Linked DNA regions of Saccharomyces cerevisiae S288C. The gene in region 2 interacts genetically with the main gene of each other region. Each region holds a gene or a part of one and is shown on either strand. Other genes may lie near its edges. The genes, in order: KAR5, YEH2, EUC1 and ILV3.

Region 1 (6,434 bases), on a different chromosome or scaffold from region 2:
TAAAGTCATACATGCTATCATAAAAATTGAGTATTTCTCTCAAAAAAACAGCATTTGGGATAACCTCTGACTCCTGCATTCTTTTTAAAAGTGACTTCACTTTCTGCTTAAATTCCTTTTTTCTAAATGAGGGCGTATTTTGTGCCTTCATATTTTGAATTTGAAGACTATAAAATTCAACAAATTTAGCGTAATGATATGCATTAACTTCCGAATAAAACTGATTATAGAGTAAATCTGGATCTGTTTTTGATTTCTTTGAGGCTTCTTCTAGTTTTTTTAAGATATTATATGCTTTTTCTTCTTCACCTGTACCGAGAAGTATGTTCAACAAGCCATTAAACTTTCTGGAACGTGACACACTGTTTAATTCCATCCACTGTCCAGAAGCCTGTTTAGTAATGAACTCTTCCAGAAAATCAGTTAATACAATACTTTTTGTTAAGGCCGAAACATTCTCAAACAGCAATTCATTGTATATTGGAGAATTAGTGTTATACTTAGTAATAACGCTCTCAAATGCCTCTTGCAACATTTTCACATTATTCTCAGGCACTACATAATCTTTATTTTGAGCAAAAATGTTTCGTAGCTTTTCAAAATCTTTCAACATATTTAGCTTGGTTTTAACAAGTAGAAATGCGGCATCTTCTTGTGTCGTTCCAGGTATTTCCATGTACTTGCTGATAAGTTGAGCCGCCATGGGAATATTTCTCTTATAAAGATGGAAATCAACAATGCTGATATAATCATGATCCGATGGTATTTCTAGTTCATTTAAGAACTCAGTTGCATGTTTCTCATTCTGAAAATTTTTAACTCCCGTGGGAAGTTCCTCCTGCTCATCTTTCATTCTGATTATTCCAACTTCTTCCACTAACTTAATAAATCGATCAGTCAGTATATTAGCTTCAGTAACATTGCCAATCGACAAATATTTTCGTATGCTCAATTTGGTAACTCTTGGGCTCAAATAAGAATACTTTGTTGAGTACTTTGCATCTGTCTCGGCTAAAAGTTTCCTGAAGTTTCTCAAGTGGTTAGACCTTAATGTGATCATTAATCCTAGTTCATTCCACCAGCGCTCGTTTACTTTGTCTTTATTGGTAATAAATAAACTGTATGCAGCCTTATAGTTTCCAAAAACTAGTAGGGATTCAATATAGAATGACTCATTTATAGGATCTAAACGAACTTTCCCTGTGCCATAAAGTAAATTTCCGACCAAGTAAATCCCTTTCTCCTTCATTTCTTGCACTGGTATCAATTTAACAACTTCAAAAGCTTGAGCAAGTTGGCTGAATGTGACCATTTCTGTTATTGACTCTTTCGGTTTGATTATGCCATTAAACCGTTCATTAAAACTTTTCAAAATCTCCAGTAAAAATGATGTACTCCTTAACGGTATATGGCCCTCTTGATCTTCAAATTGTTCTTGTGCTGATCGGAAAATATCGTTCATTATGGATTGCTCTAAGTCATCTTCATTTCCTTTCTCTTCATTGTATACCTGGGTTTGGCCGGTCGTGTTCAATCTTTTGATTTCTAAATCACACTCTTCGAGCAAATAATTGAAAACTGCATTAATTTTTACGGTGCTATTAGAGTCCTTGCTTTCTAAGGTTTTTTTTAATCTGTTTAAATTCTTGTTACTTCTTTTAAAGTTAGTTTCATTACAAAATTTCAGATATTGAATGAACGTTTCCTGGATAGTATCAAGAGGATTGATCTCCTGAAATTTCTTATTACTGAGAAGATTATTTTCGATTTCCTCTGATGTTTTTCCTTTCAAAATGAGACATTTTTCTGGTTCGTCTGGCCCTATGATGGTCTTATTAAGAACTTCAGGTATATGGGAGGCATAATTCAATGGCGCCCGCTTCAATCTATAAAAACGAATCTGAGACTTTGCTATCAAAGCGCTGCTACAGAGTGAGCGGTTGTATTTGAACATGAGTTATAAATATAGTATGGCCTTGTTTAATACGTTACTACTACCTAATGAATACTACCTGTGCCCATGATATAGAATCTCAAGATCTTTTTGCTTCGTCTTCAATGATAAAGCTGTAGGTGCTGCACTCGAACTCTCTTAAGCAAATTAACTTGGATAGTGACGTAGGACACCTTCTCTAGGTTCACTTGCCCGTATTATGGCCACCATGATCCGGTGTCCTTGAATTTTTAAAGAATATTTATTTTGCTAGACTTTGAATGCGGCTATATACCTATACATCTATGTATATATAGGCTTTCATATATTGTTACATCGGTAATGTTAAAAATCAATCAATGAGCCAGTCTTAGCTCCTAGATAAATTGAAAGTAGAAGAGCTGCCCATTGGTAATAGCGTTTAATAGGAATCATTTTGACGTTTACTCGAGACGTACGGTATTTTGACCAAATCCACACAACGGAGCACAGTAACCAGTAGTATTTATTCTTGACTGCAAGGTACCCACATCTTATAATCATTTTACTAGTTTTCCACATAAAATCCAATACCCTCATCATTGTCATGACATTTTTATGGACAAGTGAGACTCTGATTTCAATGTCGTCTAATTTTTTTTTTGTGCCATTCAGTTTCTCTGAAATATCATTAAAAGTTGAAAAAATCTCCTCATTCCATAAAGCAAAATCTCCATTTAGTGTAGATGTTATAGCTGTCCATTCTTGTAGTAAGGTATTTTTGAAGTTCGTCATCTCAGGTACTATCTCATCCGTCATGGATGGTAACAATGAATCATGAAGGATGGAATTGAACCCTTGCAAGAGCTCTATAGCTTCCATTTGTGATTCAGAAAGATCCTTTGACATGCCTCCTAACTGTTTTTTTAAACCCATCGAGAAGTTTTCCAACTCGGTATTAACTAACTTGTTATTTCTAGAGTAATATTCTTTTACGTCGTTGGACATTTCCACTAGGTCCTGTAAATTATTCAGGCTGTCGTCCTTCAAGTCATTTATCTTAGATTTTATGTCATTTTTAGCAAGCTCATCGGCTAGATCGCTCATAATATGATGGACGGTATCAACTTCATTCATTAGTTGACTGTTCTTCTCTATGATTTGGACCTCTAGTTGTTCGGAAGTTTCATAGAGTACATCATTCACTTTATTTCTAAAAAATGAGAGGTCGTTTTCTAAGATTATTCGATTGCTTTCGGTCGCATTTCGCAGTTCATTGTCATAGTTGCGGAACATCCTGGCCAGATCGTCCAAAAAATTTTGAGAATCTTGCTCCATTTGAAACATCAGATGATTTAACTTAGTATCGACATCATCCCCAAATGAATCATAAAGTTCAGTGATATTTAGAAAAAGTTTCAGTATCTGTTCTTTTTCAAAAGGAAGAAGATTTTCATAACAAATACTCGATAGTCGCTGATAATTTCCACTATAAGTTGTCCACCACTGTGAAGATGATTCTAGTTCAAACATACAATCCATCATTGATCCTAGGTCGTCAACCATGCAATTTTCTGGTATTTCGCCCAAGCCAGATGCCTGAAACTCGCATATTGAAAGTTTAATGGCCGTTTCTACCCTTGTTTCAGCGTCAATGGATTCAAGTCCATTTGCAATACATTGTGGCAAAAATAATTTTAGTGCGTCTTTAACACATGTTGATTTCAAGAATGGAAATTTGGATTCTAATACATTTGTCGCAACGGAATTATCTGTGTATATCAATCTTCCTTGCAGCAGATTGTTGATTTTTCCTAGTTCGGAGCTTGAAACAAACTTAATACAAATTGCAAACAAATAGACGTAGCGCATTTCAAACATTCAAAGTTTTTGAATAGAAACAGTTGTTGAACCAGAATATGTATACTTCATTGGTATTCCGAACCAGTGTTTATATATAGAAAATTTGTTCAGGATTAATCCCAAACAATTATGATAAAACAACCCGCTAGTGTGACACAGTTACAGTACGTATTCTTATTTACATTGTTTATTTGCGTGGAATGCGCAATTCCCTTTGCAGTGAGTTGCTCTTATGCTGCCTTTTTTTTAATATAGACGATTTATGGGCGTAAAGCTTCTCGTTCAGTGCAATTCAAATATTTCTCGATGAAGTACTTTTTAAATTCCTTATTATAACCTACAGCGCCCGTATTCTTAAGCGCGTGATTTCTCTCACTATTTTTGAGAGCCCTAATAATTTGTAGTTGGTATTTATGACTTAGTTTGATCTTATATGTATCTATCATATGAGCCATCATAGTGTAATTTCCTTGAAGTGCAAAAGACAGTATAAATTTCTCCACGAATTCGCTGGGCACGTTTTGTCCATATATTGGGCTCACTATATTGAAAACAGTGGATAGATTTCCGGAGTTGATCATTGGATCTTTAGTAAATGTTAATACTTTTTTGATAAAAATAGGTAAGGTGCTATCCACAGCCCGTTTTGCGTTATTGGATTTTCGAATAATATTTAGCAGAGAACACAATTCGTCGAAATGCCGGCACATAGGTATCAAAAATTTGAACAGGTCTATTGTTCCATAATTTTCTATTATGGGTGCAAGATCTGCTATGAATGCAAATTTGGATCTTATATCAAAAATCTTAGTGCTTTTATCGAAATGAACATCAATTGCCTCCAAATATCTATTAATGATAGTAGCCTCTGGTAAAATACCCTTTTTTATTAAATGGCCCAAAAAATTTTTGCTTTCATTCAAATTGCCGGTTTTAATGAAATATGATAATAGTTGTTCAATTACTATTGGGTGCAATGAATTTTCGCAACGCCCTGGAAAAAATCTGTTGTTGATCGCTGCCAATAGGTTTTCTAGTGCGGTAACCAATGTGGGACTGTACGGTGGGTTTTCATTTGCTTCCACTTTACAAAGGATATTATATAAAATAATGTTCATGGCCTTCATTTGGTCTAAACGTGAATATAATTGCATCTCAGTAACATTTATTAGTAGTATAAGTTTTTCAGTCGAGTTTCCATAATTCTTTATCAAATAAGCCAGTATATTCTCGCAAAATAATCTTGTCTGTTTACTGTCGCGGTCAAAAATATTCTGTAGTTCATTATTTACGGACTCGACCCTGGATTGCAAATCATTCGTGTTTTCAATCTCTGATAATATATTTTCAAGACCTCTTAATTTGGCAATATCGGTTGAAGACAAATGCAGAACGTGAAAAGATCTAACGCTTTTGCTCGCAGGTGTAAGTACAATATTTCTTTGATGTTGTCGTCTTGCAACGAATTCCATCAACCATTTATTCACTCCCCTAATATCATCAAACTTTAATTTGCTATCAACTAGTATGGTTTTTAGGCTCACCGGGTGTTTTATCAGTGATGGAGCAATTTTTTTGCCATCAAGCAGGCTAGGATTGTATTCCGTAGCGCATGCCGTGAATTGTTCTATTGCTGTTGGTTGGTAAAATGGGTGAATTATTTCTTCCGGATGAGGAACTTTATCGGCATGTTTAATGATCTTTCGACCGTCCGCTACTAAAGGAGTCTTTTTAAGTACTGGGTACCATTTGCGAGATTGCATCCTAATGAAGCACAGGTTTCTCCATTTGCTGATTTCTTGCACTGTAGTAATCATTTTCTAAGACCCTTAACAGATAGTGATGGAGGAAGAAAAAAATGTACAAATATTTGGAAGCCGATTGGCAAACCGATGTAACGTGCAAAATGACACATGATGTTACTTATTCAATGAACCCTCTATATGTCACTTCTGGAGCAATCAGACTATCTGTATGTGTTGGAGCCACTTCATATTCTGAGCTATTGCCGTTCTGTTTACTCTGGTAAATGTCGGAAATTGAGTACTGTTCCATTGAGCACGCATGCGCAATTGACTGTTGCGATTCATATTTTTTGACTGACACAACTCTTCTCATGACCCACAGCATGGAACAACAAAGTGCTACGCTAATAGTAGCGGCTAGCATTAGCCAGCCGGGCCAGTCCAGTTTGGAGATGAACAGAAGAATATCTACCAAAAAACATAAAAGACATAGCATGAACGTTGGCAGCGAAAAAAGGGCCGTGAACAATAACATCTCAGGTGAGTCCCCTAGTGGAGTTACCATGATAATCACTGCTAAAATTAATAGCGTTCCTGTGAATGCCAGTGAAATCGGGTGAACCACTAATAAATTGGAGACGACCACTTTTGAGTTCGATGGCAGGGTCAAAACGTGCCCGGAGGAGTCGACATCTGTACTGTCATATCCTATCTTCATTTTCGTGCACATCAATTCTTGGTTTTGACCACGTACACACCAGCCAAACAGGCCATAATAGTGGTTTCTGAATGACGATAACGATAGGTACTTGGTCACGGGGACGGTTATTAGCGGAAGTATTTCGAACATGGTTGTGATTGCTAGCAAAAACACCACAATATGGATCATGCTAACCATTCTCCTCTTTTCCTCA
Region 2 (6,628 bases):
ATTGTCAAGTTCTTATAATATAAATCTTTTTGTTCATCATAACCATCTTATTAATTGTTATTATTTCTATCATTATTACTATTAGCACAAATTTCATTTTTTTTTTTTTTCATTTTTCTTTAGACTTTAGCCCTAATTAGACCTGAGAAATATTATTATAACCTGAGAAAGGTTTATAAAAAGAACATTATAACCTACAAAAAAGATACTTAAACCCTGAAGTTAATAGGTTTGGACCCTCTTTTTTTTTTTTTGCTTTTTTTTAGAAAACCTCAGTATTCACAGTCTAAGGAACAGATAAAGAGAAGCTTTATGAAAGCAGTCCACAGTGCCACGAACTTTGACATATATAATTGACTTGTGGGGGCTACCGACTGGCTTATATTTCTAAAATTTAGAGATTTGATTATCTTTTTCGCAGCGCGTAAAAGAAACCCACGAAGCATCGCTTAATTTACACATATTCTTCGTTCTCCCCTTTTGGAGAGGATTTAAGCTAAGATATATCTTTCTTCGAGCGCAGTGCTGCTTTTGAGTTCTTTCGTTTTAATTTTCCACTTATTTGGCAATAAAAACTGAGTGAAGAGTGCTTCTCTGTCTGTTTTAGGGAGCTTTTTCAGATCATCATCAGATGGGATTTATAGCAAATATACTGTGCTGTTCTTCAGATACTTCCAAAACACATCGTCAACGCCAACCACCAGAAACTAATCACAACCGCAACCGCAACCGTAAGCACAGTTCAAACAAAGCTCAAACTCAGGGTCGTAAGCAGAAGGCTACTCCAAACGGCGACAAGATGCAATATTCCACACCGGAGATCCTTTTGTCTAGTTCCGATTCAGGCAGCAATGCGGGTTCCAAGACAATGCAGGAGAATGGGAATAGCGGCAATGGAAAACTAGCACCTTTATCAAGAGATCACTCCAACAACTCGTACGATGAGGAGAAAGAATATGAAGATTATAATGAAGGAGACGTAGAAATGACGGAGGTTAACAATGCCGGAGAAGAAGAAGAAGAAGATGACGAAGCAAAAGAAAAGCAAGACCATGTCGTTCATGAATATAACGTTGACGCAGATAGAAATTCCAGTATTAATGACGAGGCGCCACCACAACAGGGTCTGTATCAGGTGGGTCAAGAAGATATGAATCCACAATATGTCGCCAGCAGTCCTGATAATGATTTAAACTTGATACCTACAACGGAGGAGGACTTCTCTGACCTGACGCATTTGCAACCAGACCAGTACCATGCCCCCGGATACGACACTCTGCTACCACCCAAGTTGCAAGAATTTCAACAGAAAAAATGTCTGATATTGGATCTAGACGAAACTTTGGTACATTCTTCCTTTAAATATATGCATTCAGCTGATTTCGTTTTGCCCGTCGAAATCGATGATCAAGTTCACAATGTCTATGTTATTAAGAGGCCAGGCGTCGATGAGTTCTTGAACAGGGTGAGTCAACTATACGAAGTTGTTGTGTTCACGGCAAGTGTTTCGAGGTATGCAAACCCCCTTTTAGATACGTTGGACCCTAATGGAACCATCCATCATCGATTATTCAGAGAAGCTTGTTATAACTACGAAGGTAACTACATCAAGAACTTATCGCAGATCGGAAGACCATTGTCCGAAACAATCATCTTAGATAATTCGCCGGCCTCTTACATCTTTCATCCGCAACATGCTGTTCCGATATCTTCTTGGTTCTCTGATACTCATGATAATGAGTTACTAGATATTATCCCACTTTTGGAGGACCTTTCATCAGGAAACGTGTTGGATGTGGGGAGCGTGTTGGATGTGACGATATAGATTTCTCAGTAACATAAAAAGCAGGCTCTTTTTATTACCCCCCCCTTCGGTTATATGTTTGGACGAACTCATGTTTCTCTTTTTATACAGAAGACTTCACCGGATATTTATAAACTTAATGAATTAATTTGCTTATTACATGTATCAATTGTACTTTACGTGTAACATCTACAGATACATATATCCGTATATACTAGCATATATATAAATATATACTCTATACATATATCTATTTATTATGCTTTTCTTTCCTCTTTTTATGGCATATTATATTTTACAAAGAAACCACAAAGAAAAAACTTTTACCTCACCTTGCATTAGGAAACCTCAAATTTTCTATCATTGGCTTACCAATTCTATCTATAACATCATGCGCCCATAAAACGTCCAGATGGGAATACTCATCAATATACCAGATTTTGTACACTGCATTTGCTTCATGATTAATGAAGTGATTAATTAATCGTTCACCATCTACTAATCTATCTTGCTTTGGAATAAACATTATAATGTGTGGAAATTCTTCACTATTTTGTCTTTTCGGATTTAAGTGTAGTTTGTTGTTATCCAAATTATTGCCACTGTCATCATCATTCTTGGCAATAGGAAACCATGTCTTTTTATCTGGAAAAATTTTCTCTGCACCCTTCTTAAAACTTAGCTTATTAGGAAGAGGTGACAACCACCATTGCATTAGTTTGACGGAAATATGGACTGGTGAAAATAAGAAATTTCGGTCCCTTAAAACTCTATCCCATAAGACATCGTTCCAATCAAATAGGTAGTTAAACATGATGTATGAGAGGAACGAAAAAATCTTGGTCCCAACCATTAGTTTTCTCATTGTCATCATAAGAGGTATAAACGATCTTCTACCAAAGTACCACGGAGAATCAATACCTTTTGCCATTAGCCTCACAAATGCTTTTTCATCCAATAAAGGTCCAGGGTACACTGCAGGTGCCAAAGCAACAAAGTTTTCCAGCTTATCGACTAATTTAAAATCACTTGCGTATAGTTTCTCACCGTTGACAAGCCCCATAAACCCTTGTGTTGTACCTTGTGAATGCGCCACGAGCGATAGTTTAGCATATCCGGTACTATCAAGTACATAATTTATAAGTGCTTTTAAATCGTATTGAACCATCTGGTGCATATCCCAATCCCATTTTTTGGAATGATCATTACCTAATTTTTTCATGTTCCACTTGGCATTTAAGCCACATCTGTTATTCCCCAACCAAACATCAAATCCAGATTCATAAAGGAAGTATGCCAGAGATTTTCTACCTGAAGATGCGAAGGCCCCGCAACTTTGCAAAAGACCGTGTAATAGCAAAATGGGTTCACGTTTCACTTCCTCTACGCCATCGTTTAACCTGGACTTGAAGTGCCACAAATCAATGATAAAACCGTCGTCTGTCTCCACCTCAAATTCTTCAATATCAATACCATACTCTTTATAATAGTACTTTAAGTCAGGTACCAGCTTGGTATCCTCCGCAAGCGCAATGTTTTGGAAGGGATTCTCTGCAGCATATGGGGCTTGGTTCACATTCGTTTCCATTTTAATATTAGCATTTCCATCACCGTTCTCTGATAAAGAGGCATTACTAGTCATGGACAGCTTGCTAGTCACAGTACGGTCATATTCAATATTATTTTCCTGATCCCGCTGTAAATCTAAGGGCGTTGTGGAAGATATTGACAAAGGTCTAGAGTGACGTGCTGGTCGTTTCTTCTTCTTGTCATTTGGCTGGATCTTGGTTCTCGAACTTCTTGTATCTCTTGGATCATTTTTATGTTGGAAATGAACTGTCACGTAATTCTTCCATAGTGACAAAATGAATAACCCCGTCATAAACGAAGTGAGAATTATTGCGCTCACCAACCGCTGAACCTCATCAACCACCTTATTTACCATGCTTATCGTAAAGGTGCCACGGGGATCCCAATGATAGTTGAGTATTTCCCAACAATTTTAATTATACCTTTGATGAGAAACATTTGCGTACTATTTGTGTGAAAAAAAATGAAGAACTTAATGCGCGAATTATTGGGATAACAACGCCAATGGTGAATCAAAATATTAACAATGACAAAAAGAATGGGCTATTTTTGTACAAAATACTGTTGCAAATATGATATCATATGAATTCCAAACTCATCTACCGAAAGGAAAAGATAGCTCATTGAACGCTTCATCCGAAAACAAAGAATTGTATGTACAAGCCACGCACTTTAATAACACAATTCTATTGCAAATCAGACTAAATGGGGAAATGGATTCCACCTATGAGGTATCTTCAAAAGGACTAAACCCAATTCTCGATATCAACGTACCACTGGCAGGAAACCTAGGAAACACGGGTGGCGATTATGACGATGAGGAAGAAGAATTTGTAAGAGACCATTTATCTGATTATCAAGTGGTTACCAAGTTGGGAGATAGTGCCGATCCTAAAGTACCCGTGGTATGCGTACAGATTGCCGAACTATATAGGAGAGTTATTCTACCAGAAGTGAGCGGTACGATGGCCCAAGACAACATGCAATTCAGCTTGCTGATATCCATGAGCAGTAAGATATGGAGAGCAACGAAGGAACAAAGCGCTGACGATAATGATTTTGGCAAATTAGTTTTTGTGTTAAAGTGTATCAAAGATATGTATGCAAAGTGATTCTATATAAATTAGTTATGCGTTGTATTATCTATGACTGCCATATCCAAGACTTGCACAGTTCCCTTTTTATCACATAGGGTCATCAAATCTCTATAATTGACAGGATCGATAAGACCTGTACATGTCCAAGGATCCAATTCCGGCTTCGTTGACTCTCCAGGCGATGAAGCTATCAATTTACTAATCTTCTCAATAAGTTCGGGTTGTCTAGATGGCTCACTTATGGCCACTTTGACTTTCATCTTCGCCCTTACTATTGGAATAATTTGCTTAGAAACCAATAATTTGATAGCCTCTAAAGCTTGCAATTTGGCAGGTTTGTTAATAACAGGGCTGAACTTCAGTTCCTGTAAAGCTTTGTGGATCATTGTGGGCGGATATCTTTTCTTTGACACAGGATTTATACATTTAGCGCTAACTATTGTAAGCATTTCGTTATTAACTTTATTAAGCATTAATTGTCTTTCTTTTTCCGATAATTGAATCTCTCCCTTATGCATGATCTCCTCGATGACATCATCAACATTTGTAGTCCCGAAACACTTTTGTAGATCTTCCTTATTAGCAACCAAGCCTTTCGAAACATTCATGAAAACTTGATGTATCTGCAGCACTTCATCCAGATCTTTTTCAATTCCTTTTCGATAGTCTTGGACCTTATTTTGGTAGCACGCGACTTCAAATCTCTTGCGAGCCTTTTTTAATCTCACTAATGAAACATTAGTTAACTTAATCTGTCCCGACGGTTGATTGATAGGCATTGCGTGTTTTACCTTTTCTTTCTCAGAACTATTTTAGTAAAAATTTTAAAAACTTTTACTACTGCATGAAATCACTTAAGTTCGGCCTAGAAAAATTTTTTCATGAACATTATTATATATACAAGGCACTGAGCAGAACAATACACGCTAAGTTTTGTTCTTTCATGAGGTCATAATAAGTTAAATAACAGTCAATACATAAATGCAAAACTAAAAGTACACAGTTTTATTATTTTCTTTTCGTCGTAATGTAGTTTTTATAATCAGTCAACTTTTTTTTTGCTTTTAGATTTCGTTTGTTCCTTTTGTCTTTGGATCCAAAGTTTCTTGAAAATGTAGCCAAAACAATGCCAGCAGGAATATCGAAAAAGATGGGTATAATATAAGTAAAAAAAAAATTTTAACAATGAAATAATACAGGAGAATTCGTGGTTTACAATTTCTGGTTTTTTTCGAAATTGCTATGTGGCTTCTCCAACAATGTAATTGTAGGCTTTTCTTTCTTTTAAGTCCGTTTATCGTATACAGAAAAAGTGCAGGATGTTGTAAGTAAAGGTAGTCAGTCATACCATCATGACAAAATCCACCTCTTGGCAAACATATCTAAAATAGCTCTATAATGGCCGATGACACCCAACACTACGAAGAAATGCCAAAAAGTGTGCGAACAACCAAAATAGTCAACCCACCATAGAGATTTAAATGATTTGGCATGAGACGGACAGGAACTGCATTTGGAATGGGCTGTTGGCACCTCTCTAAAATGAATTTCCCTTTGCTTTGTGATGATTTCTAAATCAGTAGATAATTCGTAGTTTGTTGGAATGGTCTTATCAACCTGAACGTCAGATCTGAACCGTTCAGGAATGAACGAACCGTAAAATACCACACCAACCAAATACCAAACAACAGATTTGTATGTGACGGGGCTAAATAGCGTTGCAGCATAATGAAGATCAGTCAAAAATATCAAATGTAAAAACGACAATACACCCATAGTAGCCAGCAAAATGAAGAATCTAATTCTTAATGGCCTTGCTTCAGGTCTATCAAAGCGAGGCGACCAATTCATAAACACACCAAATACACCCAGCGCCAGAGAAATACTCATGTAAGTGTACATCGCCCAGTAACATGAATACATGGTAACAAACTCCGTTGTCAATATCGAAGCTGTAATTAAGATCGTAATACCGCTATAGTCGACACACGCAAATTTAGAACGTAGCTTCAAGAAGGACGTTCCGTTGAAAGTATGCCAAAACACGGAGCTTAGCATACATTTCAACGCAGCTGCCAAAAACATGAAAACAATCCATCTAGCCTGTGGTGGAACCTGGGAATTCCGCCAAACTTCA
Region 3 (4,472 bases), on a different chromosome or scaffold from region 2:
TTTTGAAGGCACAATCTTGGAGCCGTTAGTTGAGTTTATACTTGCAACGGCCTTTTTGTAAGCAGGCTCATGAATCATACGAGTGAAATCTGTTTGTTCATCAAAGCTTGGATAAAATTCATTTAGTACTGATTCACACTCTTTAATGACTTTTGGATAGATAGATTTATGTACTAACAAATAATCTGGTGAAACACAAATCTGGCCAGAATTTCCGAAAGCACCAAAAAAAATCCTTTTCAAAGCAATTTTTATGTTACTTGCTTTGAAATTTTCTGTAATAAAGGTAGGTGATTTACCACCAAGTTCAAGTACACAAGGTGTTAGACTTTTTGCTGCTTTCTCAGCAACTATTGATCCGACACGGGGAGAACCTGTGTAGAATATTAGGTCAAATTTTCCACAATCTAGTAGTCTTGTAGTTTCATCTATAGCTCCCTGAACTACTTGAATCAATCCATCAGGGAAACCAGCTGTGGTTAACAAATTTTCCATAACTACAGCAGTGTGTGGTGTTAGTTCACTTGGCTTCAGAACAATGGTGTTACCTGCAGCAAGAGCTGCTGCCAATGGGGCAAATGCTAAAAGTAGGGGAAAATTGAAAGGAGCAATAATCAAGACACTGCCCCTTGATATTTTCTCCACGATTGTTTTACCAAACATAAATGGAGGAGAAGAATCAGATACTCTCCGAGGTTTGATCAATTTTGGTAAAATCTCAATTAGGTGAAGTATATCGTTCATAAGTTTGGTCGTTTCATTCAGAACCGATTCAATTTTGTTCCGATGAAAGTCCTTGTACATAGCATCGATCAGTTCTTCCTCATGATCTTTGACGGCATAATAGAGTTTTTTCAACTGCAACTGCCTGAATTCTAGATCTTTTTTCCTTGGGTTATTTTCGTGGGACAATTTCAATTGTTTCTCAAAGAAGAAATTTCTTGAGATTTCAACTATTTCATCTATTTTAGACACTGGGGTATAATTCAATATTTTTGAGCCGTCGTTTGACATGTTGGTGATAAATTACTATGGCTATGGTTTTAGAATATTCCTTTTAGATAATCAATATGCCTGAAGTTTTGTTTTTTATATATGGAGTATCCGTTTATCCCTAAAATCCGAAGAATCTCCTCCTAAAACGACAAAAAAAAGGGTAAGCAATCCACCATCTAATTAAATCACTAATATTAGATTGAATTTTCGAACCTATCTAAAAGTGGGATCTTGATGTAAAATTGACTGATAGATAAAAGGCTTGGAGTCGATAGTTGATATATCAGTACACCGGTAATTGTCTATTATATACCCTGTTGGCATGAAATCCATATAGGACGGTATATATTTATATATAAAATGCATGTAAAAATCTTTCATCATGAACTACTCGGAATTTTTGGCTGGAAATTCGTTGTTCCATTTCCTCTAAGTGTCTTGATCATGTTCTGGTGTGCCTGTACTGGAATTTGGTATACTATGTGGCTGCTGTAATGATAATCTAGCTTCTCTCTCTTCTAACAAGAAAATTCTTCTTGGCTTCCCTCTTCTCTTTAGAGTAAGTGAATAGTCTTCGAGTTTGTCCATTTTTTTGGAGAAGTATTCGTATAACTGGGACATTGATAATCGGCAATGATGTCCTTTGAAGGTATTGTTTCCCAATCTTATATTTTCGACAACCTTGATGGCTTGGTTTCTACTTATTTTATTCTCAGGTAGCGACAAACCATATTTGCTTGGATCATCTTTTATATCTATTATTCTTTTTATGATGGTCATTCTTTTAGTGAACAAAGTCCTTTCTTTGGCAGATCGCCTCCAAGTGGACCCATATCTCCTCTCAAGGGAAAGAACTGACGGTTGGCCCGGTAAGCCTTCAAAGTATTCACGGGCCGCATCTGTAACGTTCTGGATTGCACGATTTAGTTTATATGACGTTCCAACGCACCCTCTTCTGTTTCTGATATCATTCTCGTTTCCTGTTCCATCGAGTTGGTTATTACTGTCATCAGCATTGCTAACAGAATCGGGGTTATTTAAAGGTAGGTTCCTGGTGGTAGCGTTCTCATCACTTTCATTACCATCGTATTCCCCATTTTCAAAGTCTGACAGCCCTGGCTCAGGCTTGATACGAGGATCGCCGGCTAATATGCTTGCGTGCATACTATATTCTTGCCAGTTTGTTGATCTTGACTGACTTTGATGAGCTTGCGTACTTGTTGATGGATTTCCAACACGAGCAGCTTCCTGAGGAGTAACATTTTCCCCAGTATGGTCTATAAATCTTATTCTCTCCCCAGTCATAATACCAACTACCTCTTTGAAGACTTCTTTCATTGCGGAAACATCTTCAACATACTTATTGATGTCTTTAAATCCTTTCTCCAACTTCTTTTGATTCTCTAGAAAGAAGAGTTCTTGTTCCTTTTTCATTAGGCTGATTTCTTCCTTCAGATTGGCATTTTGCTCCTCCATTCTGGTTAGTTGTGCTATAAGAAATGCATTGAAATTTGTTTCAGGGGTTTCTTTTATCCTTCCAGGGCCTATTCTGTTGGTCGGTTCTGTTGCCGATGCTGATGTGGATGTAGACACTATGGGAGGTTGAGCAGCGTCTGTCGGTCTGAAAAGAGGATTGATACGGCCTGGGATCATGTACCTATTTAATGCAGCATGTCTTGATACTCCTGTTGGACTTGTGGTTATAGTTCGCTGCCCTAGATCGTGATTCCTGCGTTCAGAATCTCTATCTGAATCATCATCGTCCAACGAGCCGTACCCACCAAAACCTTCTACATAGTTATATTCTCGAGCGGGCATGTTTAATTAATGTGTTGACTCCTGGACTAACTTCTCGATGGCACAAAATGTAGTCTTCTGGCAAAAGACGAAGTTGATTGTTAAATATTTTAAGCTAGCAATGCCCTTTGTACTCTCGTTTGTGTTTGAGTTTCAAGTACGCTTCCTTTTTTTAATTTTTTTACTAATACTAAACTCGTTCTCTTTAGACAATACTGGTTGAAGTAAAGTAAATGCTATATCATCATATGGAATATGATATCCCTGTGATGTTTATATAATTATACATTTGTACTTGATACAAAAGTGTTCTAGTCCTAATTAAGGTTTACTTGGATTTCGAAGGATCTAATATAGCCGACAATAAATCCAATTGTTCTTCCATTTTTTCTGTGTCTTGGCCTAGGGCCTTCTTGTTGACATTGATGGGCAGTAGTCGTGTTCCAACGTTCTCATCCAACAACTGTATCTCCTTGCGTAGCTGTGTGGTTGATTTATCTAGTCGTTCGTAAAACTGTTTGACATGATTTTCGAATTGGGGTTTCACTGATTCATTACCTCTTTTTAGTTCACCAAATATGAACGTGACTTGAGACGCCTCCTGCAACATGGAGCATAACTGGGTCTCTATATCATTTAATGACTTAAGACGTTCTTGTATATATGGTGGCTGCATTGTTTCGTTTTCTTGTTTCGTTTCACTCTTCGTATTGAGAACCTGCATCGTTGTTCATTTGGATTTGATAGCGTCCTTCTAATAAGCGCGCCTCTGGCTTGATGAGAAGATTTGAATCGAATTAGCAGATCTAACGACTGGGTCAAAAAACCGCTAAGATGAGGGCCTGCATACTGTCCAAGTCAGATTTTCGTACTCATTCGATTACTTTCAAAATATAAAAGCCGCCGCAATGAGCGACTTAAATCAAGTTTTTAAAATGTCCAATATACATATATATAAATAAAGTCAAGATTTTTTTATCACTGGATGTTTCAAAGCTTCTCATACGGTGGCTACGTCCTGGTTACCATATTTCTTGTGTTATATATATTATTTATAGGCCCTTCTACAACATTGGTTAGTTCGGGTGTTTTCCTCTATGAATAATTGTTATTTAAAAATTGAGCAGAAAAACTCAGGATTGTTTATAATGTAAATGTTTTGAATAGACCGATAAGGTCACCTGTTAGTAAGTTGATCTAGTGTATTTATTGTATTTTGCTATATCAATGGCCATTGAATTGGGACTTTCCCGTATTACAAAACTACTAGAGCATTTAGGCAATCCGCAAAACTCACTTAGAGTGCTGCACATTGCAGGGACAAATGGTAAAGGTTCAGTATGTACTTACCTATCTTCTGTGTTGCAACAAAAGTCCTACCAAATTGGAAAATTTACCACTCCACACTTGGTGCATGTTACTGATTCCATTACAATCAACAATAAGCCGATTCCGTTAGAGAGATACCAGAATATTAGATTACAACTAGAAGCTTTAAACAAGTCACACTCTTTAAAATGTACGGAATTCGAGCTATTAACATGTACCGCATTCAAATATTTTTATGATGTGCAGTGCCAATGGTGTGTCATAGAAGTAGGCCTTGGCGGAAGACTTGATGCGACCAATGTTATTCCAGGCGCAAATAAGGCATGTTGTGGTATTACTAAAATCAGTTT
Region 4 (7,095 bases), on a different chromosome or scaffold from region 2:
AATATGGAAGCGGACGAGGAATATTGCAGACGCAACGATATACATGACCTTTCCAGCGTGGTCGGTGATGCTGTCTCACAAGGTGTGCCAGACATGGATGGTCAAACAACGGATTCTTCGAAGGACCCTGAGCCAAATTCCGAGGATAAGAAAGCGTTTCCTCCTTCGAGTGGCTCATTTTTTTCTCCTAATCTACAGGGTCAAAGGAAGAAAGTTCTTTTAAAGTTTGTTTTCACAAATTGCTTACTGGCCATAATTTGCTTTACAATGTTTGTGTTGTTCTGGGGGGCTCTTTACGACACCAGCAAGTATCTACACAAAGTTAAGCTTCTGGTTGTTATCCAGGAACCCCCTGTGGTAATTTTGGATAATAACAGTTCCATGGTAGTGCCCTCCATATCGTATGCTTTGCCTACTTTTATCAATAAAATACCATGTGATTGGGATATTTATAACAGTCCTACCTTCCAGGCCAAGTTCGACGTAAATACGCCACAGCAAGTCAATGACAAGGTTGTCGATTTGGTTTACGACGAAAAATACTGGTTTGCCATTAATATCAAGCCAAACGCCACGGAGACTCTATTTGAATCACTAATCAACGATACCGCACCACTATTCAATTCTACGCTGTTTAATCAGGTGGTATATGAAACTGGTAGAGACCCGACAAACCTAAAATCAACGATTTTACCGGTTGCTCAGACCATTGAAGAGTACTACCATACATTCTACACACTAAATTATCTGCCGCCGTTATTGACAAACATAACCCAGGTATATCGTTATGCACTAACTAACAATGCAAGGTATATCGCTGCAGCAGGTAAATATAACTACGAATACTATGACCACAGACCATTCACAGACCGTATTCTACTGGCACCCACACAAATCGGTGTTGTTTACTGTTTACTGCTAACTTTTTTCCAATTTCTATTGTACGGCCCATTACACGTAGAAATGGCAAAAGTGCTAAGACCAGCCAACGGTTTAATTTACCGTATCGCTATGTCATGGTTCACCTTTTTCTTTGCGTCTTTGTTCTTCTGCACAACAACCGCCATCTTTCAAGTCGATTTTACCAAGTCCTTTGGTAGAGGTGGCTTCGTCGTATATTGGATGTCTACGTGGCTCTTCATGCTTGCTGCGGGAGGAGCTAACGAAAATGCGGTTATGCTTGTTATTACGTTAGGACCCCAGTATCTCGGGTTCTGGATCCTATCATTTGTCATTCTCAATATTGCACCTTCTTTCTTCCCATTAGCGCTAAACAATAATGTTTATAGATATGGGTACATGATGCCCGTTCACAACGTCATCGATATCTACAGGGTTATTTTTTTTGACGTGACAAGACGCAAGATGGGTCGGAATTATGGTATTTTAGTCGCACTCATTGCCTTGAATACGGCACTGTTACCATTTGTTGGCAAGTATGCTAGTAGAAAACTAAAACAGAAGGCTTTAGTGGCAGCAAAGCAGAGTTAATTTCGTAGATTATAATTAAGGCGACTTTTCAAATAAAAAAATACTGATCGTTGTTTTTTTTTAAATAAATGTTTATCCATTCAATGGACTATAATAAATATTTATATATATATATATATGAAAAGATTGCGAACAAAAAAGATGATGGAAAAGGAGAATCTCTATATATATATTCATCGATTGGGGCCTATAATGCATCAAGCATCTAAAACACAACCGTTGGAAGCGTTGGAAACCAACTTAGCATACTTGGATAGAGTACCTCTTGTGTAACGAGGTGGAGGTGCAACCCAACTTTGTTTACGTTGAGCCATTTCCTTATCAGAGACTAATAGGTCAATCTTGTTATTATCAGCATCAATGATAATCTCATCGCCGTCTCTGACCAACCCGATAGGACCACCTTCAGCGGCTTCGGGAACAATGTGGCCGATTAAGAACCCGTGAGAACCACCAGAGAATCTACCATCAGTCAACAATGCAACATCTTTACCCAAACCGTAACCCATCAGAGCAGAGGAAGGCTTTAGCATTTCAGGCATACCTGGTGCACCTCTTGGACCTTCATATCTGATAACAACAACGGTTTTTTCACCCTTCTTGATTTCACCTCTTTCCAAGGCTTCAATAAAGGCACCTTCCTCTTCGAACACACGTGCTCTACCCTTGAAGTAAGTACCTTCCTTACCGGTAATTTTACCCACAGCTCCACCTGGTGCCAATGAACCGTACAGAATTTGCAAGTGACCGTTGGCCTTGATTGGGTGGGAGAGTGGCTTAATAATCTCTTGTCCTTCAGGTAGGCTTGGTGCTTTCTTTGCACGTTCTGCCAAAGTGTCACCGGTAACAGTCATTGTGTTACCGTGCAACATGTTGTTTTCATATAGATACTTAATCACAGATTGGGTACCACCAACGTTAATCAAATCGGCCATGACGTATTTACCAGAAGGTTTGAAGTCACCGATCAATGGTGTAGTATCACTGATTCTTTGGAAATCATCTGGTGACAACTTGACACCCGCAGAGTGAGCAACAGCCACCAAATGCAAAACAGCATTAGTGGACCCACCGGTTGCAACGACATAAGTAATGGCGTTTTCAAAAGCCTCTTTTGTGAGGATATCACGAGGTAAAATACCCAATTCCATTGTCTTCTTGATGTATTCACCAATGTTGTCACACTCAGCTAACTTCTCCTTGGAAACGGCTGGGAAGGAAGAGGAGTTTGGAATGGTCAAACCTAGCACTTCAGCGGCAGAAGCCATTGTGTTGGCAGTATACATACCACCACAAGAACCAGGACCTGGGCATGCATGTTCCACAACATCTTCTCTTTCTTCTTCAGTGAATTGCTTGGAAATATATTCACCGTAGGATTGGAACGCAGAGACGATATCGATGTTTTTAGAGATCTTCGAAGAACCACATGTTGGATGACCGGGCAAGATAGTACCACCATATACCATGATGGAAGGTCTGTTATGTCTACCCATGGCCATCATGACACCGGGCATGTTTTTGTCACATGATGGGATGGCGATGTTAGCATCGTAGTGTTGTGCCATCATGATGGTTTCAAAGGAGTCTGCAATGATTTCTCTACTTTGTAACGAGTATCTCATACCTTTAGTACCCATAGAGATACCGTCTGAAACACCGATGGTGTTGAACTGCATAGCTTTCAAACCCGCTTTTTCAATGGATTGAGAACATCTGTTATTCAAGTCCAATAGATGCATGTTACATGGGTTACCGGACCACCAACAGGAACCAACCCCGACTTGAGGCTTCTTGAAATCTTCCTTCTTGAAACCGGTGGCATAAAGCATGGCCTGGGACGCACCTTGGCCCTTAGGTTCAGTGATGATATACGAGTACTTGTTGAGCTTCTTTGCAACGCATCTCGTTGTAGAGAATTGTCTAGATGTAGCAACTTTCGTTAACAAGCCCATCTCTACTTTTTTCTTGGCTGTTTACAAAAAAATACAAGAATCCGTTACTAAAGATTACAGGCGCTACAATGCATAATAAAACTTCAGTCTCTTCTTTTGTTACATTATATAATATACTACTATATTACTGAGTCATCTGGAGAGGAAAAGAGAAAATTTTTTTTCAGGCCCGGTTCCGCTCGCAGCGAAGAACAGCGCCATTTAACTATGTGACTAGTTAATTTTTTTTCTTTTCATGGGTTCAGCGAGGACGGAATGGATACAAGAGGGAATAAGAACATAAAAAGGTGAGGTGGAGAAGCAAATGCCAACCTAACCTACCCGCTTGATCACATGAACACCGCTTCCTGATTCAACGATATCGCTTACCTCGCCGACCTTGAGCTGGAAGGCAGCGTCTTCAAAGCTAGGCTGCATCTCGCCTCTCCCGAACCAGCCGAGGTCGCCGCCTCGCTTGTATGAAGAGCAATCTGATCTCTCTTTAGCCAGGGCCTCGAAGGAGTTCGTCTTAGAGTCGTCATCCAACCTCGTGATTAAGGTTTTCAGTTCGTCCGTAGCGTCTTGCTTGGATATCGTAATGTTCTCGGATCTATGCGATGCGGGTCTTCTTGAATCCTTGTGCTTGATGAGAATGTGCAGGCATCTTACACGCACTGGATGGTCTCTTAAGTGCTTGTGTAGCTGGTCCTTGTTGGTGCCCTCAGGCTCCTCCCATTGCGAGTGCTTCGTCTCTGGATTGAAAAAATACTCTCTTTTCTTGGACTTACTATACCTGACGGTCCACGGGGTTGGCAGCCCGGTCCTCGATGCTACGTCAGATGGCATTGGTGCGTCGTTGTGGTGCCGTAGTCGGTTATGCGTGGGAATAAGTACCACAATGATCATTCAGGTCCTTTTTCTACTTAGATCGAAGGGAAAAAGGTATGATACCCGCTCGTGAAAGGTGATGTAATAATAAATAGGATATTATTATATAATATAAGAATATATATGTATGTGTTTATACGTGGGAGGGAATTGTCCTCAGAACTTGGCTCGAATGTCTCGTTCTGACCCGTAGACAACGTAGCCCTCCTGAGAGACGCTTGCCATGATGCGTCCCGACTGTGTGTCGAAATACTTGCCCTGTACGAGGTGCTTGTCCCAGTGGGACCTGGGATTCGAAATCTTAAGATAGATCCAATTGTTCACATGAGGCAACTGGTGAAAGTAAATCGTGTGGTCGAGCGAGACACTGAAACTGTGGCAGTACAAAGGCAGGTTGTGGAAGTACGGGATCGTGAGTAGGAGGTAGGAATCGGACAGATACGCAAAGGCCACGTAGTTGTAGCGAGCGTCGTTCTCAGGAGTAATGCTCTTCGGGATCCTGTACGGATGATGCTTGTGTAAAGAAGACTCGTCGCCCGCGTGCTCCACGGTAGTGATGGGAGGTCTCACTTTGACGAAATAATCCAGCTCGTCGGTGTGTCTTGCCGAGTAGAACATGTCCTTGGGGAATTGGTACTCCATGACTCCGTATTGAAACGCATCCACATACTTGCTCATCGAGGTTGCGTCTTGGAACCTGTCGGACAATGAGGCATACCTGCTCAATTTCTGTGGGTCCAGAACTTCTTTCTGGAAAAGCGAAGTGGCCTCTTCATAACGATGAGGGTCTGGCTGCTTACCTTGCAGGCCTGGAATCGTCTCCCAGTGCTGCAAGGAGTCGTGCTCCTTGGACCGTTGCACGGCAAATAAGATCATCGACGTAAATATCAACTTGTCGTGCTGATAAGCACTAACCTGCTTATGGATGAAATTTCTACCGTTTCTCAGATTCTGCACATGGTACGTGATCTTGGTCCGCGGATCACCACCCTTGATGAAATACGAATGTAGCGATGTGGGGAAGAAGTTCAATGGCACAGTATGCAATGACGCCAGCAGCGATTGTGATACCAGCGTTCCACCAAAAGTGCCCTTAGACCCTACGGGCGCGGCAGGCAGATACTTTGTGACAAAACTGGTAGGCGAAAGAGGAACCAGTTCCAATATTTTCTCTAGGTTGGACATGGCCATTTTGGAAGCACTCATTTTTATGCAATCTTGTCTTATCTTGTCTTGCTCATGGTGGATACTGAATTGAAACCCTTTTCTGGTTTATATCCAACTGGCGTGGTTTTTCATTGTAGGATGAGGCTCGGTGTTTATGCCGTCTCTTCCGAGGATGCAATCAAAGGCTCTCTCCTTTGTTGGGGTAGTAGCAAGTCCAATAAGCAACGCTTGTTTGTTGATTGGGCCGATTTACATAGCCTATACACTGCTGTTACATATGCCTGTGTAGAATGAAAAAGCAGGACGCCCGTTTCACAGCTCAGATTCCAGAGTGTCGGGTCTTAGTTCCTCCCAGGGAATAATGGTCCTGGCCGCACGCTTCAGCCGATGGCTAGCGTCATCATTGTCTTCGCTATTGTGGTTTTGGCTGGTGGATAGGGTTGGGGAGCTGGATCTTCTGCGTTTCATGGACCTTGTGACCATCATTCTTGGTGGCGGCACGGACTTCTTACGCTGCTTATCGTGGGCTTCGTCCATATCGTGCAGGAGTGTGGTGCCATTCAGAGACACATCCGGGCGATCGTAGGCGTGATCTGCCTTTTCTCGAAACGCCATCTCTAGAGCAGTCTGGCGGGTTTGTAGACTGTGCATGTCTTTGGATAGAGACAGGAGCACTTTATGCACGTCCTCCAGTTGGCTGCCGACGTTGAAGAGCATCTCCTGGGTGCACCTCATCGACTTTTCCGTCTCATGCTGCTTGTTAGTTACGTGTCGCGTTATCTTGGAATTATACCTGCTTATTTCTTCGACTAATACCTGCCTGTAGCTGGAATCCGACTTTGTCTTCTTCTCGTCGCCTTTCGATAACATTGCTGTTGACACTTTGTCCAGTTGGTTTTCAATCTGGGAAGCCAAATCCTTTATTAAGGTTTTCACGTTTCCTATACTACAGTTGTTAGTAAATGTGTTTTGGAAGAAAATGAATAAAAAACTTGAGGGTATGCACTGTGTTGGTACGAACCGTTCGTAGCAGCATCTTGTTCCAGTAGCTGGTTAAACTTGTTTAGCGATTTACATAATGTCTTAGAATTTTCATTTAAAACTTTAATTAGCTTGTCAGAGTTTTCCCTCAGCTCCATACTCTCCAATTCCAGTTTACCTGCCCATTCCAGTATCTGCTTGTCCGATTCCTCTAAAGCGCCTGCATTCGCTACTTTCCCACTGTGGGAGAATATAGATCTGAACGGTGATGATGTTTCTGTAATCATCAACGAGTGTTCAGAATTAGCCTCTGAAACATCTGTAGATATCTCGTCTGTTCTACCTCTAGCGACCATTTTACTAAATGTTTCTACACGTCTGCAGTATCCTTGTTTTGCTTGTTTTCCTTCTTTCTGTTCTTGTTGATTTTCCCTTTAAGTCCTGAAAATACTATCATGGCGTAAAGGGAAAAAAAAAAACTAATCTTACGTGGTTCTTATAAGATGGACCAGCAAGCTGCATACAGTACACCATACAAGAAGAACACACTATCGTGCACCATGTCAGCCACCTTGAAAGACTACTTAAATAAAAGAGTTGTTATAATCAAAGTTGACGGCGAATGCCTCATAGC

What was found.
Region 1: mutations in YEH2 (region 2) and KAR5 together harm fitness more than expected from each alone (negative genetic interaction), as found in Saccharomyces cerevisiae (one large-scale study listed by BioGRID).
Region 3: mutations in YEH2 (region 2) and EUC1 together harm fitness more than expected from each alone (negative genetic interaction), as found in Saccharomyces cerevisiae (one large-scale study listed by BioGRID).
Region 4: mutations in YEH2 (region 2) and ILV3 together harm fitness more than expected from each alone (negative genetic interaction), as found in Saccharomyces cerevisiae (one large-scale study listed by BioGRID).

The regions. Positions count from the first base shown.
Region 1 is NC_001145.3:397,061-403,494, reverse strand, and holds KAR5 (Kar5p), read right to left. Parts: upstream 3,794-6,434; coding exon 2,279-3,793; downstream 1-2,278. Other genes in the region: SOV1 (Sov1p), read right to left, coding at 1-1,954; AEP1 (Aep1p), read right to left, coding at 4,036-5,592; RIM9 (Rim9p), read right to left, coding at 5,699-6,418.
Region 2 is NC_001144.5:179,657-186,284, forward strand, and holds YEH2 (sterol esterase), read right to left. Parts: upstream 3,750-6,628; coding exon 2,133-3,749; downstream 1-2,132. Other genes in the region: PSR2 (putative phosphatase), read left to right, coding at 632-1,825; IRC25 (Irc25p), read left to right, coding at 3,967-4,506; guanine nucleotide exchange factor SDO1, read right to left, coding at 4,518-5,270; IZH3 (Izh3p), read right to left, coding at 5,842-6,628. UniProt on the Saccharomyces cerevisiae protein: Mediates the hydrolysis of steryl esters. Required for mobilization of steryl ester, thereby playing a central role in lipid metabolism.
Region 3 is NC_001145.3:490,979-495,450, forward strand, and holds EUC1 (Euc1p), read right to left. Parts: upstream 2,815-4,472; coding exon 1,426-2,814; downstream 1-1,425. Other genes in the region: HFD1 (hexadecenal dehydrogenase), read right to left, coding at 1-1,014; MED11 (Med11p), read right to left, coding at 3,122-3,517; FOL3 (dihydrofolate synthase), read left to right, coding at 4,021-4,472. UniProt on the Saccharomyces cerevisiae protein: Transcription factor-like protein that binds to specific DNA motifs called ub-HS-motif associated with several locations where proteins other than histone H2B are ubiquitinated (ub-hotspots).
Region 4 is NC_001142.9:462,763-469,857, forward strand, and holds ILV3 (dihydroxy-acid dehydratase ILV3), read right to left. Parts: upstream 3,447-7,095; coding exon 1,689-3,446; downstream 1-1,688. Other genes in the region: YJR015W (uncharacterized protein), read left to right, coding at 1-1,491; peptidylprolyl isomerase ESS1, read right to left, coding at 3,759-4,271; TES1 (palmitoyl-CoA hydrolase), read right to left, coding at 4,470-5,519; REC107 (Rec107p), read right to left, coding at 5,793-6,421, 6,502-6,817; U4/U6-U5 snRNP complex subunit LSM8, read left to right, coding at 7,022-7,095. UniProt on the Saccharomyces cerevisiae protein: Dihydroxyacid dehydratase that catalyzes the third step in the common pathway leading to biosynthesis of branched-chain amino acids.